Linked DNA regions of Struthio camelus. The protein of the gene in region 2 purifies or fractionates together with the protein of the main gene of each other region. This does not show direct contact. Links are inferred from orthologs where the notes say so. Each region holds a gene or a part of one and is shown on either strand. Other genes may lie near its edges.

Region 1 (7,546 bases), on a different chromosome or scaffold from region 2:
GATTCTACAGAACTGATTTTAAAAGATGTAGTTTTCAGGACGTCTGTGTACCTTGCTGGGGGGAAGAGGAGGGTGAAGAGGAGGGAGAAACAGCCTTATTACCCAGGCAGAGGAACAAAGTTAGAGCTTACCAGAGTATAAAATCCACAATATCACTTTTGCGTACCGCACTCAAAACAGAAGGACATCCAAGAGTGAGTATAATCAACTGAAATTGCTATTTCAAGTTTCCACTGTAAAGTTACCCATTAAGTCACAGCGACCCAGTGAGTTCAGTCAACTCTTGGCCAATCTCCGAAGCAACAAATCTCTCAAAGAGTAAAATAATATGTTATTTTTCCATACTTTATTCTTTTGATTAACATTACATATAAAGGGTTTCTCTTCACTGTAATAGCTTCACCCAACCAAAATGAAGAAGCCATACTCCAAGTAACTTTTACTCCAAAGAGCAGCTTGATTAATGATACGGAGCTGATGGGAAGTTATAATTTGATCTACTTCAGCCCCACCGCATTACCACAGTGAGCCAGATGCAATTCCAACAGGCTACTTAGAGTAAGCTTAAGTCCCACCGCACAGACTCATCAGACTTACACGTGTATAGGAACACACAAGACTCAAAATAGAAACATCAAGTTATAGCTCTAAGCAGAGCTGACGACAAGCCTTTTGCTTTGGCAGGATCTGGATTTAAGTTGCTCGTCATGTTAGAGGCTCCTTCTCTGAAATTTTTCTTTGATAGATATGACATCTTAACTATATTATTTCCGATAACCATGATTCAACTATACAGCTATTCAGCCAGTAATCCAACTTGCAGCTTCCTCGCCAGCCTTTTTCTTCTAAAGCACTTTAAAAGCTTTCAGGCCCATGCTTCCATTCCTCCCCCTCTCCCACAGTGTACGTTCTCGAGCTACGTTCTCCTTCAGTAGCGTTTTGATATCGGATTTGTTTGCTTTTTCAATAGTTCAAACTGACTTAAAAGGGAAGAGGCCACTGTTTGAGCAGTTCTCACACAACTTCAAGAACAAACAAACAATTTTATGATGTGCAATGCTATTAAACAAAAATCAAGCAATAAAGTAAGTCTTCAGCATTTAGTTAGAAAAAAAATATGTTGAACTTCAAAGGATAATGGAATTATTGTCAAAGCTTAAAAACCCCAAGCCCCCAAGCTTGTACAAACACAAGGAAACTAACAGAAATCTTTTAGTTGCATGCATGTAGCAGTCTTCCAGGTTGTTCCTGTTACTGCTGAAGTCCTGTCTTTTGCTCCCCAAATTTTCTTTACAAACACTGCTGCCAATATCACCACTGATATCACTGACTTACTTTTTACTCCATTTGGCTTGTTCGCTTTATTTTAATATGTCAAGAATCAACAGCAAGAGTTTCTAATCACTTCTGTGATTACTACACAAATCATAACTCCTTCAAGTCAGTAATATCCTTTCAAACATGTGGCAGGAAAAAAAAGCAGAAGTTTACGGTATTTGCAACATGAGAGAGACCTTTTCACATTTCAGTCAAACAAATACCTGCAAAAACAGTAGCCTATTTGTCAAGCATTGGAGCTATCATCACCAACTTAGCCTGGAAACATAATCTTTGTGGCTAGAGTCATTATGCTCCAACAAAGTGATTTACGGGAATGCAGCCAATGTGAGAAAATACAGCTGTTTGCACAGAACCAGCAGCAGTAAAATTGCAACGGCCTCTTTTCTGAGCCCTCAACAGTTTACAGGCAGACAAGCTTACACTACGACAATGTTCCGCTTGCTTTCTCGCATATTTTTTACAACCTCTGCTGACTCTGACAGAGTAGCAGGATTAAACAACACAAGTTTCTTGCATTACATTCTAAAAAAAAGCAGCTAAAGGGAAAATACTACGTCATTTATTTTTTTTTTTTACCAATTTTTTTTTTTCCACAAGAACTGAAGCCCAAACGCTTTCCCCTCCCCTCACTTCTCCGACAAGGTTTCTCTCCTCGTTCCCCACCTCCAGCCAGGAGAGCTCTACTGACAGGAAGGGCATCACCAGAGTCTGGGCAACCAACACTCACCACGGGGGCAAAAACTCTGCAAAGACGTTGCGGCTAAAAGCAGCCTGCTTGGCTTCGCGCGTTTCCTTACGCCAAAGCGACACTACCCACGGGTGGTTTTAGGGCCGGCCCCCCCCGAGGTGGTCATGAGGAAAGGGATATTGCCGGGGCTGAAGCCGGGGAGCCCCGGCTGCGGCTCTGCCCGGCATCGCAGCGCCGGGGGGATGCGAGCCCCGCTTCCCTGCCCGCCCCCCCCGCCGCCGGCGGGCAGCCGCGCTCCCCTGACGGGGGCCCCTTGCCGGGGGCCATCACCCGCCAACCGCGCCACCTCCCCCCGGCCCAGCCGACGGCGGCGCCGGGGCAAGGCAAGGCCCGGGGCCAGGGCGGTGCTCAAGCCCCCGGCGCCGCGGCACCTACCCCAGATCCTCCAGCGACTCCAGCACGTCGCTCTCCAGCAGCTCGAACTCCATCCTGCGGCGGGGACCGGGGAGGGGGGGGGGGGAAACCTGCGTGAGAGCCGGCACTCAGCGCCCCGCCACCCGCAGGCCCCGCCGCCCCCGCCTCTCCCCATGGCGGGGGAAGAGGGGGGCTCGACCGTTACCCCCTCCCCCACCGAACCCCCCCCCGCCCGCCCGCCCGCCCGCCGGCGCGCGCCTGCTCCCGCCCTGCCCCCCGCGCCGCGTTCCCCCCCCCCCCCCCGCCGCCGCCGCCGCCGCCGCCGCCGCCGCCGCCGCCGCCGCCGCCGCCCGCCGGCCCCCACGTACACTGCCCGCGCGCTGCTACGCCGCCGACTGCCGGGTTGGCATGTCAGGGTGGGGGAGGGAGCAGGTCCCCGGCATGACCCTTCACCCGGCTCCCAGAGGGCTGCCCGAGCGCGCTGCCTGATCGGTCTGGCCTGCTTCTGCCGCACTTCCTGCCTCCCCGCCGCACCAGGCCGCGTTGCCAAACGAGACGAAGACGTCCAGGCGGGCGCCTAAGTGTTTTGAGGGACGGAAGCCGGAGGCGAGCGAAGGATCCCATGTTTCTGTTCAGGCGGCGCTGCGGGCAGTCCCTGAGAAAGGACCCCCCCTCCCTCCCGTAGAACCCACGCTGGAATGTGCTGGTGTGAGCCGTAGAGCCCATAAGGGTAGAAAAGGAGAAGGAGACGGGGCGGGAGAAGGGTCAAATTACATCAGTGACGGAACGCTTCTCCGCCTATGAGGTCCCCCGCGGCAGCATGGGGACTACAAATCCCAGCATACAACGCTCCTCGTGGCCTTCGCGGCCGCCGTAGGGTGGCGCGGCGCCTCCTGTTTTCCTGTGGGGCGCGGGTTTCCTTGCGGCGCCATGTCGTCGGTGGCCGCAGGGTTTTGGCCGCTGCCGTGCGGGGGAGGGGGGTTGCCGTCCCTTTGGAGCTGGGGCCGGTGGCCGAGGTTTAGGGAGGAGGCGGCCCGCAGAGCTAAGAGCCGGTGGGGTGGGCCCCGGTGTGCCAGGGAAGGCTGGGGCCTTCGGCACTGGGGGGGAGGCCCGGACGGTGGGGCAGGGGCTCGTGGTAGAAAGTGCGGCTGTGGCAGGAAAAGATGAAGCTGCTGCTAGTGCGGGTCTGCTTCGTCTCTCGGCAGGTTTGCGGGGGCCAGGGCAGGCTGTGCCTTGGCAGGTGCCGGCTGCGGCCATGTGCCGCTGTCCTAGAAGTAACCTGGTTGTTGAAGATGCTAAAGCAGTGCTGGCTGGAACAGAGTCTGCCTGACTTTATGCTAATAGTACGACTCCTTAAGGTTGTGAGCTGGCAGCTTTCTTAAGTCTTCCTTTGCCTGGGGGGAAAGGAAGTTGCTGAACACTGTGCAGTTCCCCCAGCTGCTTAGTTGCCAGCATGCTCTGAAGGGAAAGCCATGCAAATGGATAAAGATGCAGCGTTTGTAATAGAAAGCTCAGATGTGGGCTAGGGCATAATTTTGCCTGGTCTTTCTGGTTCTTCTTGTCAGTATTACCATATTGCCTGGGACACAGCGGTTCCACAGAAAGCACGTCAGCGCTAAAAGGGAAGCGTGCGTGGGAGAGCACGTTGTGTTGTAAAGGCCAGGCCGTGTCAGTGAAAGCCAAGAGTGCCGACGCTGAAAATAACTCCAGCCCTTCAACAGCAGTGAGCTGATGTTCCAGCAGAGGATTTTTGGCTGCCTGCACTTCATGAAATCACCCTTGGCAAGCAAAAAGAAGAACTGTAGTCAAACAAGGAAGTAGCTTGTAGCCTCAAGATAGGTGAGAAGAAGGAACACGGTGCCTCAAAGGACTAGAAAGAAGTCATGCTTCACAAATAGGTGGTTCAGTTGTTGGCTTTGCCATTAAAAATAGGTCAGACTACTAGTTCAGGGGAAAATTACCTCCTAAAGACTAAGAACTGACATGTGAAAGGAATAATGCCGGCATTCCTGTTTCTTTGCCTGTTTACTTCTAGTTGTGTCATGGTTGGTAAAGAGTAACCATAGGCAATTTCAGTTTGAAAAATCAGATCATCTATTATGCTCATGGCAAGCTGTCTTATTACTGCTGGGCAAAACATGTCTGTAAGAATTTCCTGCTTTTACTTTAGTCCATTCATCCTGGATTTACTCAGAATATCTCAGATATTCAGTCTTGGAGCCCTGCCTGGATGAGCAGACCAAGCTGGGGTTTTTTTCCGTCTAAAGTTCAACACTGCAGTTGAAGCCTTGTGACACTTGTTAATAAAATGGTTGTGTTCAGCTTGCTTACACAATTGGATGTGCACAAAGCATAGTAGTTTTTCACGAGTGCTAATTACTCTTCCATTGCAATTGATGGCTTTCCACAGCTGCAGGCCAACTGATCCAAAGGGAATTTTTTTTTTTTTGCTGTCCTGTGATAACAGTGTACAGCAATCATTGTTTTGAGATGGAGAAAGCCCTTACGGTGTTCGAGATGGAGAAAGCCCTTAACGCTGTTAGCTGCTTTGGGCACTGCACAAATGTTGTTGCATCTGGAACTGGGGTGAGGTTGGGAAAGGTCTCTGCGGAGCCACATCTCTGTGCACCTCCCTTGTCCTGGAGTCTGCATGCAACTGGTAGGTGAGGGTGCTGAAACCAGGTGAGCCTCCTGAGCTCATCTCCTCCATCGGAAGTAGAGCTTTACTAGGAAGCTGGTAAAGCAATGTTAATTTTGTGGCCCAAATAACTAGAAGAGACTTTGCCCAAAACGTTGGTCATTCACAAGCCAAATATTCTTTAAGCGTGGGCTGGCTGCTGTTTGGCTAGCAATTTTGGCACAAATCCCAGCAGCTCATCTGCTGAGGACACTGTGGCTATGAGATCACGTGGACTCATGGGATGACTGAACAAGTATGTGGAAAAGAGATCTATTGATGGTTACTAAACTGAAAAATTACGTCAGTATCAGGAAATCCCAAGAGTTGAAAATAGCTGGGAGAATATATGGGCAGGGAAAAAGAGGGGAGTAATATATGTGTTTTTCCTGTTCTTACTCTTCTCAAAGCGTCTGCTTAGGGCCAGTGTTGGAAGTGCAATACTGGGCTAGGTGATACCCTGATTTCAGTTGGTGTGTCTGGTTTGTATATGCATCACTGTCCTATGAACTAACTAGCTACGTAGATACGGCTCATTTTGAGGGCACTACAAACAGTGTTTTTACTGGTTGAATACATTGTGGTCTTCTTAGTTTAACTGTACAATTGAGTGAGTTCCTCTGCCCCTATTTTTATGTTTTCCAAAGATGTGACTTTCCTGTCTTAACAGCAAGGCTACCTGTGAGGTGACAACTCCAGCATAATGTGTTTTTGCCATACTCCTTACAGAAGACAGAATTGGAAAGCATGTGTTTTGCAAATGTGCTGCAAGAACTTTATTTAACAAAACCGCTTTATGTCAGTGTACCTGCAAATTCACTTATCTCTGAGGAGTTTGCTCTGACTTAGTTCACCGTGGTCTTTTGGGCATAAGAAGAAACTAGTTTTGTACTAACTGCTTCACCTTCCATCTAATATTCCCCAGCAGCAAGTCCTGAACTCAAGAGAACGCTTCCGCTGACTTTGGCAGGGTCGTTTAGATCTATATTAGGAACAAACAGGGGGTAAGGGCCTGTTTATTTGTACTGCAATTCCAGGTCCAAAAAAAAAAAAAAAAAGTGCAAACTAATTCCGAACCTTTTCAGGCTGGCCCCTATTAAATGGGTGCTTAGAGAATTCTCCAGAATGTCAAACTTGCATGAAAAAAAATGCCTGAATAAAACAAGTGCTACGTAAAGAAAACTAGACTTCTGTACATGATCTGACAGCAAGACTTTTAGCTTGACTAAAAGCTGAGTAGACTGATTTGTTGACTTATCTCAACATCAGTGTTTCAGCCACAAGTATTTATGTCCCATGTCTCAGCTAAGGATAGCCGGCCAAGATCACTCATACAGCAATATCAATGTGCATGGATGGTGTTTCTCAGAAACAAATTAATCTTGCCCCAAACAGTTTGCTATTAAGCAATGAGATCCGTAGCTCTGCAAAACAGTTACTTCTGAGAGTAGCGTGGACTCAGGTTGTCAGCTCGCTCAAGAGCTGTAAGTGGGGTCGTTGATTTTTATGGGCTATCCAAAGGCTTCAGAAGACTTCTGCCTTATTCCAAAGAATTTTCAGGCTGCAGAACTGAGCTCAACTTGCCTTGCATTTTTCCCTTCCTGACTGAGGTTTGTTAGAGCTCCGCGCCTTCTCACCTTCACTCCGAGAGGTGTAGCTCTGGGAAGTCCGTGTAATCCTTAGGTGATTTAACTGCAGCCTGGAGCCATGTGTGGCCAGCTAGGCTGTGCCAGTGTGGGAAGAGTTACGGGGTAACAATTTTTATTTCCCCTATGGGAAGAACCAAACCAGCAGAGGCTGCTGCAGTCACATCCACTGTGACTGGACCCCTGTAAACTCCTCCTTGGCCCCCTCTTCCCCTTAGTCCTGGAACGATGTGGCATGCATACAGTGGCTCTTGGTCAGCTGCTCTCAGGATGTGAGGTGCAGGTCAAGGAAGCTGGCAGTCCCTGCATAGCCTGAGGCTGCACAGCAGCCAGGAACACTTAATCTGGAGAAGTGTGAAACGCTCCACTGATCTGATGCCAATTGTCATTTAACAGACACACAACTGGTTTCCTGTGGATTTGCCTGCTGTGACTGATTGGTTTTGGTGTCTAGGATGATGTGAGCTCTGACTGAAGATACAGGACTTTGTCCTGTGAGGATTCCCGAGCATCTAATAAAGTGTGAGCTGATGCAACCTCTTCTTCAGCTTTGCACCAAAAGGATTGGCCTTCAATGTGTAGGAGGCTTGTTAAACTCGCCTGGAATGGGTCATCCAGTTCAAAGACACGCACCTTGATAATTTAAGCCTCGCTTCCTTAGGAAACCTGGCTGAAGATGATGACATTAAGGTGGGCATTATTTCAATACAGCAAGATTATTTCACAGTATTAAAAAGTCCATTCATCTTTTCACAGTCATGTCTGTTTGCCCTGTGGTTG
Region 2 (7,403 bases):
CCCCGGGTGAGGATGCTGCACCGGAGGGGAAAAGCCCCCGCGGGCGACAGCCACGCTCTCCATCGCGCCCCAGGCTGGGTGAGCCGCCGCCGGCGTCATCCCGGCTCGCCCCGAGCCCATGCAAAAAAGAAAAACAAAAAAAACACAAAAACCTCCCTAAAAGCGGCCGTTGGCCCCTGCCGGCGTGCCGGGTCACCCCCCCCAGCAGGGATTTACGGCACTCGGCCCCGCTTGGCTCTCGCGGCGCCCGGAGCCGCCAGTCCATTAAACACTGAGTCATCCTCGGTGGCATTTAATTTTGCGAGGGGCAGCAGTTTGGATAATTAAAGGCGGCCGCAGCCAAAGCCGGCGGCTGCCGAGAGCCGGGGCGCCGCGAGGCCGAAGGCCGCCGAGGGGTGCGATGGCGCCGTGGGAAAAGCCTTGGGGGGGGGGGGGCGAGGAGGGAGCCGGCTCCGTTTCCGCGGGAAATCCAGCGCCAGCATCCCCGCGCCGCGGGGCCGGATTTTGGGGGGGGGGCTTTTTAACCCCTTCCTGCCCGGGCCGAGGGCCGCCGGCCCGCGCTGTCTCTGCCCGGGTTAGCCGTGTCCTGACGGGATCGCCCGTGGGCAGATGTGCTCTCTGGAGGCCTTGGCTTATTAAAAGGACAAGCTGTTCGGGGAGCTGGTAATAAAGCCGTGAAAGCTGTTACGCACCGGAGTTGAAGGCACTAATATCGCTGCGCTCTGCGTGGGTGAGAAATTAGACAAGAGTTCCTCCGTGCTGATCGGGGTTTTTTTTTTCATTTTTTATTTTTTCCCTCCCCCCTATTCATCTTTCTCAACAATTATCTTTTATTTTGATATCTTTCTATTTAAACCTCCAGAGCCGCGCTGAGGATAACAGAGGCTGAAGCGCTGGAGGAGCGGGCACCGCGCGGAGCGGCCGGCACGGCCGGCGCTGGGGAAGGGGTTTCGGCACCGGGCGGCCCGTCCCGAGGGCCAGGAAGCAAAATCCCCGCTGGCCCCTCTGGCTCCCGGCTCATCCGGTGCCCAGGAAAAGGCCGGTTAGGCGGGACGGATGCGACCCGGCGCTGGTCCGACGCGTTCCCCGGCTCTGGAGCTGCTCAGACCTGCAAAGCCTGGGGCAGAGACCCAACAAACTCATTTCCCAGGAGCCGCGCAGGATGCGCAAGCCTCCGGCGTCCGGCTCGGCTTTCCGGGCTCCTCTTTACCTGCGAGAGGAATTCAGCCAGCGTACGGAGCAGAAGGTGCAACGCAAAAGCCGACAGAACGATTCGGCGACGCCGGTGCGCTTCCCGCAGCGGTAATTCGCGTGATTCCTGTTTTTCACCGATCCTTCACAAAGCGCCTTTAGGCAGCCGGGACTGGCCGAGCCTCGGCGTGGGGCTGCGGCGGCGCCGGGCGGCTTTCGCCTGCCGCCGTGAGACGGGGCGTTCGCTGCCTCCCCGCAGACGGAGCCCGTCGGCAGCGGGCAGCCTCAGCAAAAGCCGAGCCAAGCCGGGAGTCAATCGCCGGCACGTTACGCCGGAGCCGGGGATGCCCGGGGGACCGCCGAGAGGCACCGACCCTCCGCTCCGGGGGGGAGGCACGTCCGCGGGGTAGCTGAGAACTGCCAAGCAGTGACAGTGGTGGCTCTGCGAGAATATAAACGTACCTGAGGGCAGAACGTCTTCGCTTTCCCACTGGGAAAAAGGGGGAGACGCGAAGTAGCGGCTCCCAAACGCCCCCGTTGAAAGGTGGGTTTTGACCAGGGATGCTGGACCCTGCCGGGTGCCCCGGGGCGGCTCCGGCGCGGCGGCCGGAGGACGCGGACGTGCCCGTTCGTCCTCCTCGGTGCTTCCTCTCTGCTCGCCATCCGCTCATAAAGTTTGGGCTCGTTAAATCCCCAAAGGGCTTCCGAGGGGCTTGTGGCTCGGAGCACGCAGCTCCGAGCCCCCCTCCGCTTGCCCGCCTGTCTGCGAGATAAGGCTGGCGGTGGCTTTAATTCCCCGTTCCTGCCTCGCCTGCCAGGTCTCCTGCCCGCTCACCCTTCATACGTACCACACAGAGATTTGGCTGCCAATGGGCTGGAGATAAAGGTCCGGTCCCACCAGACCTCCTTCCTCCGCGCCTGCTCTCTCGACCTGCGTCCGATGTGTTAAACAACCCCTGGCGCGAGCAGCGCAAAACCTCCGAGCGAGCATCCTCCCCGCTGGCTGCCCGGCGTGGGTCACTGCAAAACCTCCGAGCGAGCATCCTCCCCGCTGGCAGCCCGGGCGTGGGTCACTGCAAAACCTCCGAGCGAGCATCCTCCCCGCTGGCTGCCCGGCGTGGGTCACTGCAAAACCTCCGAGCGAGCATCCTCCCCGCTGGCCGCCCGGCGTGGGTCACTGCAAAACCTCCGAGCGAGCATCCTCCCCGCTGGCCGCCCGGCGTGGGTCACTGCAAAACCTCCGAGCGAGCATCCTCCCCGCTGGCAGCCCGGGCTGGGAGCATCAGCAAAGGCGCCGTCGTTCCCGGGCCTCGAATCGCTTCCGCTGCCGTGCTGCAAACCTGCCCAAGAGGGAGCACCGAGGGCCGTGGCTGCGTCTGGCCTTGCTAAAAAGCCTCTTTCCAGCCCTGGCGGCGGAGGCCAGGCTGGATGGAGGCAGCCGGGAGAAGGGTTAGCGCCGGCGCACGCGGCGTCGCTCGGGGTTTGCAGGAGCCCGTCTCACTTTTCCGCCGGCTCGGAGACCCTGCGAGCGGCTTCGGCGCTCCGAAAGCTGCTGCCCTGGATACAACAGACGCGGTGAAACAAACCCCGGGTTGCTCGCTGATGACCCTGTGCCGACGCCGACGGGGAGCTGCCGGCCTGAGCATCGTTTCTCTTGCAAGAAGGTCGAATTTAAATTAAAAAAAAAAAAAAGAAAACAGAAAAGAAAAAGGCTTGATGCAGGCAGATGGGGAAGGGTTTGAGCTTTAAGGGGACTTCCCCGAGCTCGCTGAGACGTCCGCCCGTCGCCCTGCAGCAGCAGCACCGGCCTGGGCAGCTCTTTCGCTTGCAGGTCCCTGGGCACCCCGGTTTGGGAGCAGCCCCGACAGCGTGGTTTGAGCGCGATCGCTCCTAAATCCGTTAAGAAGTGACATCTAAAGTGCTACAAATAACCCTCTGATTATCTGCCGAATCCTAACGCTACTCCCTGGAGATAACCAGCTGCGGTTTTTCCCCTGGGCCATGCAATAATCACCCCAATTACTCCCAAGCAGCCGTTGTTAAACGCACGGCCGACGTTTTCCCCTTTGCAAAGCAAAAAATAATTAAGCAGGTGGCGGCGACCGAGGTCGTGTCTGCTCGCCTGCGGGGAAGGAGGGGACCGTCCCTTCCCTCCGCGGTGACGGGAAACCGCGGGAACCTTAGGAGAAACCTAAGGGTTGGGGGGTGACGCGGGGCGCCTGGGGCGGTTTGGGGCGGCCCGCGGCCGGCAGCACCGCCGTTACCCCCCCCCAGCTTATCTCCCCTCCCAGCTTGTATTTCAGCCCAAATATCAGAGGAAGACGGAAGATTAATTTTTGCCGTTTGCATGGGAAAAAAGATTGGGGGGGGGGGGTGAGCCGGACTCCCGGCGGCTTAATCCGCGGCCGAGACCTGCCGAAGGAAACGGCAAAAACGTCTCGGCGTCGGCGAGATCCCGGCGCGGGGAGGGATGCTCGGCCATGGCCGGCATCGGCAGATTAGCATAAATCCTATTAACGGTTTTTAACCGGAGCAAACATGTCGGTGGAGGCATCATTTTCCCGAAACGGGAGCACTTAATAAACGGCCTCGTTCGTGTGTTAAGAGGTTGCTGGGAGGTTTTAGGTTTTGGTGAATGGGAATGTGTGGAAAATGGAGGTTTTGGGGTTTTTTTTTTTTCCTCCCACCGGCCTCGGGCCGGGAAGCCGGGTCCGCGGATTTCCCTCCTCCTCCTCGGGGGTGGAAATTCGCGTATCGGTCTTGCTGTGGTCGGTGCCTGGAGGCCTCCAAAGCCGCAGCCATCGGCGTTTCCTCGGAAGCGAAGGCGATTTTGGACAACGTTTCATCAAATATCTTCGAGGCGCCTGGGGAGCCTCGGAGGGCTGCAAGGGGCCCATCACCCCCCGCATCTACGGGAGTGGTTGACCGCTGTTCCTGGGCTCGGGCCTCGGTGACAAGCCCGGAGGGTGGCGGCACGGACGAGGCGGGGGACGGACACGATTTTGGGGCGATCTGAGGCCTGTCAGCATCCGCCGCCTGCTCCGTTGCTAAGCAACGCAGGCTGGGACCAGGAACCAGCAGTAAAGATGGCGCCGGGCCGGCTTCATCACGCGGCCTCTGGGGTCCCGTCCGCCCTCGCACGAGGGAGTGGAGCAGAGAAGCCACGCCCTCAGCAGACATGGCGCCGGCTCGGCTTCAGGCTGGCGGTGAGCGAAGCCAATGAGCGGCCGGGAGGGCGGGAGAGCGGCCTGTCATTGGCTGGCCGCTGGGATTCAAACCGAAGTGCGGGGCGGTTGGGCCGGGCGGTTGCAGCCGGCGGGAGCTCGCGCCGGGCCGGCGCCTCAGGTGAGCGGGCGGCTGAGGTAAAGCGGGGCCGCTGCTCGGTACCGGGCCTCCGGGGCCCTCGGTACCGGGTCTCGCCCTGCCAGCGAGGCCCTCGCTTGACCGGGAGGAGCCGGGGGTGGGGGGAGCTGCCTCCGGGCCTCGGCGCGGGCCGGCGGCCCGGGCCGTCCCGGCGCCGGTTTCCTCAGAGATTTTCCCCTGAGGGGGCGGTTGTGGCGCCGAGGGCCGGGCCGGGCCCCGGGGGAGAGGGGGAGGCGGCTGTGGGCACCCTTCGTGCTGGCCTCCTTCCCTCACCCGCCCCCGTCGGGCTGGGCAGCGCCGGGCTAGCGACCCTGCTGCCTTTAATGCAACACACGCAATAAAATAAACCCGGGTTTGCTCGCTGACGACCCTGCTGGATAGAGAAGTCATAGCTGTGTTGCTGAGCTGGAGACTTTTTCTCTTCGTTTCTTCTCTTCTGCTATTGTTGCTGCTGTTTGAGGAAAACATGCTGACTGCCCTGAATTTCAAAAGCTGTTTGCTGTGGGAGCTGTAATTTAAAATGCAGCTAAATTTAAAACTGTATTCAAACTCTTCAGAATGCTGCTCCTATTTTTATCTTATGAAATGCTGAAACCTTACAGATCTTAGTGGCCTATATAGTGCCAAGTTACTCATAGCCTGGGTGCGAGTTATGTTCTGCAGCCTTCCAGAAAGAAAGTCATCTTGTCTTGGGGGCTTGAGCCTCTGTAGTATACTGCAGATTACTTGAAGCAATTACTTGCCTCTTCATATTGCTGTTTTTTTTATCCCTGAACTATGGAGGCATGAGGCTGCTCTTAATGCTCTAGGAATTAGTTGAGATGCATATGTCTTGATTAAAATGCTGTCTTTGTTTGTCTTCTTTGGGCTGCTAACCTCTGCTTGAAGGTGGAAGGAGAGGATTGGGCTGGTTATTTAGGTCCATTTTCTTGGCAGGAAGATGGAGACAGCAATGCTGAATTTGCGGAATCTATTTGATCAGCTTATGCGCCAGGCCGAAGTTTTAAGTGAGGGAAACGAATATCGTAAGTCCTGTCTCTGTGGGTAGTTCCAGTGGGCTGCTCTGTGTTTGCTGTGGGACTATAAACGTGCAAACAAACATCAGTGACTGTTACTGGACAATCTGATGGAGCTGTGGGTGATGAGACTGATGTGGGTAGCCAGACTTGTGTGGGGGTTGGTTGATTGGTTTGTTTTTTCATTGTCTAGAAGGATGAAGTCACAGGCTGAACTGGGCAGGGCTGTGCTCTGCTTCTGTAGCAAGCTGACTTCATCCATGCAGAGTCTTGTATGTTCTAGCTCTTCTGGTTGATGCGAATGTGAAGGACTTGGTCTGAAATCTTAGTGAACATCTAGAGTGCAGTTGGCTTTGCTGAAAGGCCAGCTTGTCTGCCTCTTCTGTCAAGGGTGGGTTACATTGATAGATGCCTACTGTCAGCAAATAGAGGCCTGCTGCATTTCCTCTGCTCGCTTTAGCAACTAAAGATTGAAATGTTTTCTACCCAGAATTTATTCAGTTAGCAAAGAACTTTGAAGAGTTTCGGAGAAAGTGGCAGAAAACAGAGCATGAGCTTGCCAAGTACAAGGATCTTCTAATGAAAACGGAAACTGAACGTAGTGCTCTGGATGTGAAGCTGAAACACGCTCGCAATCAAGTGGACGTGGAGATCAAACGAAGGCAAAAAGCTGAAACAGACTGTGAGAAGTTGGTGAGTAATTCTTCATTACCCAGTTAGCTCATTAGACTGCAGAGAGATAGTGGTTAATCTGCATTGATCTATAGAAAATAAGGACTGGCAGCCAAGATAATTGTTTTTTTTTAAAAAAAAAAAAAAAGGGGGGGGAGGGGGCTTGGCTCCTTGTAGTAGCCTTCTGCTTTGAATAGCCTTTTTATAGGCCAAAGCCTATCAGCTGCTGTTTACAGGAGAGCTGCTGTTACCTAGCAGAGCATGGGCTGCTGTCGCTTTGTGGCCGTTAACGTTCTCCTGAGACAAGTTCTGAGAAAGACGATCTGTGCAGTATCTCAAATACTCGAGATTGGTTCATACGGTAATTAAATGTAGTCTATGCTGTGGCAGCTTCTGATGCTACCTACCTTTACAGGAGCGGCAAATACAACTGATTCGAGAGCTGCTCATGTGTGATGCCTCTGGGAGTATTCAGCTAAGTGAAGAACAGAAATCTGCCCTTGCCTTTCTTAACAGGCCACAGGTTTCTGTAGGGGGTTCAGGTAACAAAAGGTAGGCAAAAGAGCGTTTTGTCTAAGCAACATAAGTAATGTCAATTCAGCTTTGTGTACATCTGTGATCCTACTAACACTGCATTCATATGAGCAGAGTTTCACTCTGTATTCCACTTGGAAATAAAGCTCTTATGAGTCAGTAAGATTGTTCTGGAACTGTGGCTCACTGAAAGCCTAACTGACACATGTTTCTTCTAACTTTTTTCTTTTTAGGCTGTCTACAATTGATGAATCTGGCTCAATTCTGTCAGATATCAGCTTTGACAAGACTGATGAGTCACTGGTAATGTAATGCCAAGTACTGAAGCTCTCTTCAACTATAAAACCTTAAGGGTGTGGGGTAATCTCCAGAGAAGCATTGTTTAGAATACTATGGTATTAAATTGGTAGAGCTGATCTGCATTTCTTCAGTGTGCTGTTGGCTAAAAGGTAATGAAAGTCTGGCCGGAGGCTATATGGTATTTACACTGAGCTAACCAGTGGTGTGTTTCCCACAGGACTGGGATTCCTCTGTGGTGAAAGCTGTTAGACTGAAAAAGAGAGAAAAGCGGGTATGTTGAATTCTTTCCTTCAGATGGGTTCCGTTGTTAGCCTTAGGTGACACAAT

The links. Proteins that work in one complex are often made in the same cells at the same time.
Region 1: the proteins of RACGAP1 (region 2) and FAM98A purify together in Homo sapiens (co-immunoprecipitation; 3 studies listed by BioGRID and IntAct, with this or other methods). This does not show direct contact. The link is inferred for Struthio camelus from reciprocal best matches to the Homo sapiens genes RACGAP1 and FAM98A.

The regions. Positions count from the first base shown.
Region 1 is NC_090944.1:103,512,715-103,520,260, forward strand, and holds the start of FAM98A (protein FAM98A), read right to left. Parts: upstream 3,001-7,546; 5' UTR 2,812-3,000; intron 2,554-2,811; 5' UTR 2,518-2,553; coding exon 2,465-2,517; intron 1-2,464. UniProt on the Homo sapiens protein: Positively stimulates PRMT1-induced protein arginine methylation. Involved in skeletal homeostasis. Positively regulates lysosome peripheral distribution and ruffled border formation in osteoclasts.
Region 2 is NC_090969.1:1,510,718-1,518,120, forward strand, and holds the start of RACGAP1 (rac GTPase-activating protein 1), read left to right. Parts: upstream 1-4,395; 5' UTR 4,396-4,410; coding exon 4,411-4,536; exon of another isoform or gene 4,537-4,553; intron 4,554-5,442; exon of another isoform or gene 5,443-5,494; coding exon 5,495-5,579; intron 5,580-5,853; exon of another isoform or gene 5,854-5,961; intron 5,962-6,060; coding exon 6,061-6,263; intron 6,264-6,657; coding exon 6,658-6,794; intron 6,795-7,009; coding exon 7,010-7,079; intron 7,080-7,293; coding exon 7,294-7,347; intron 7,348-7,403.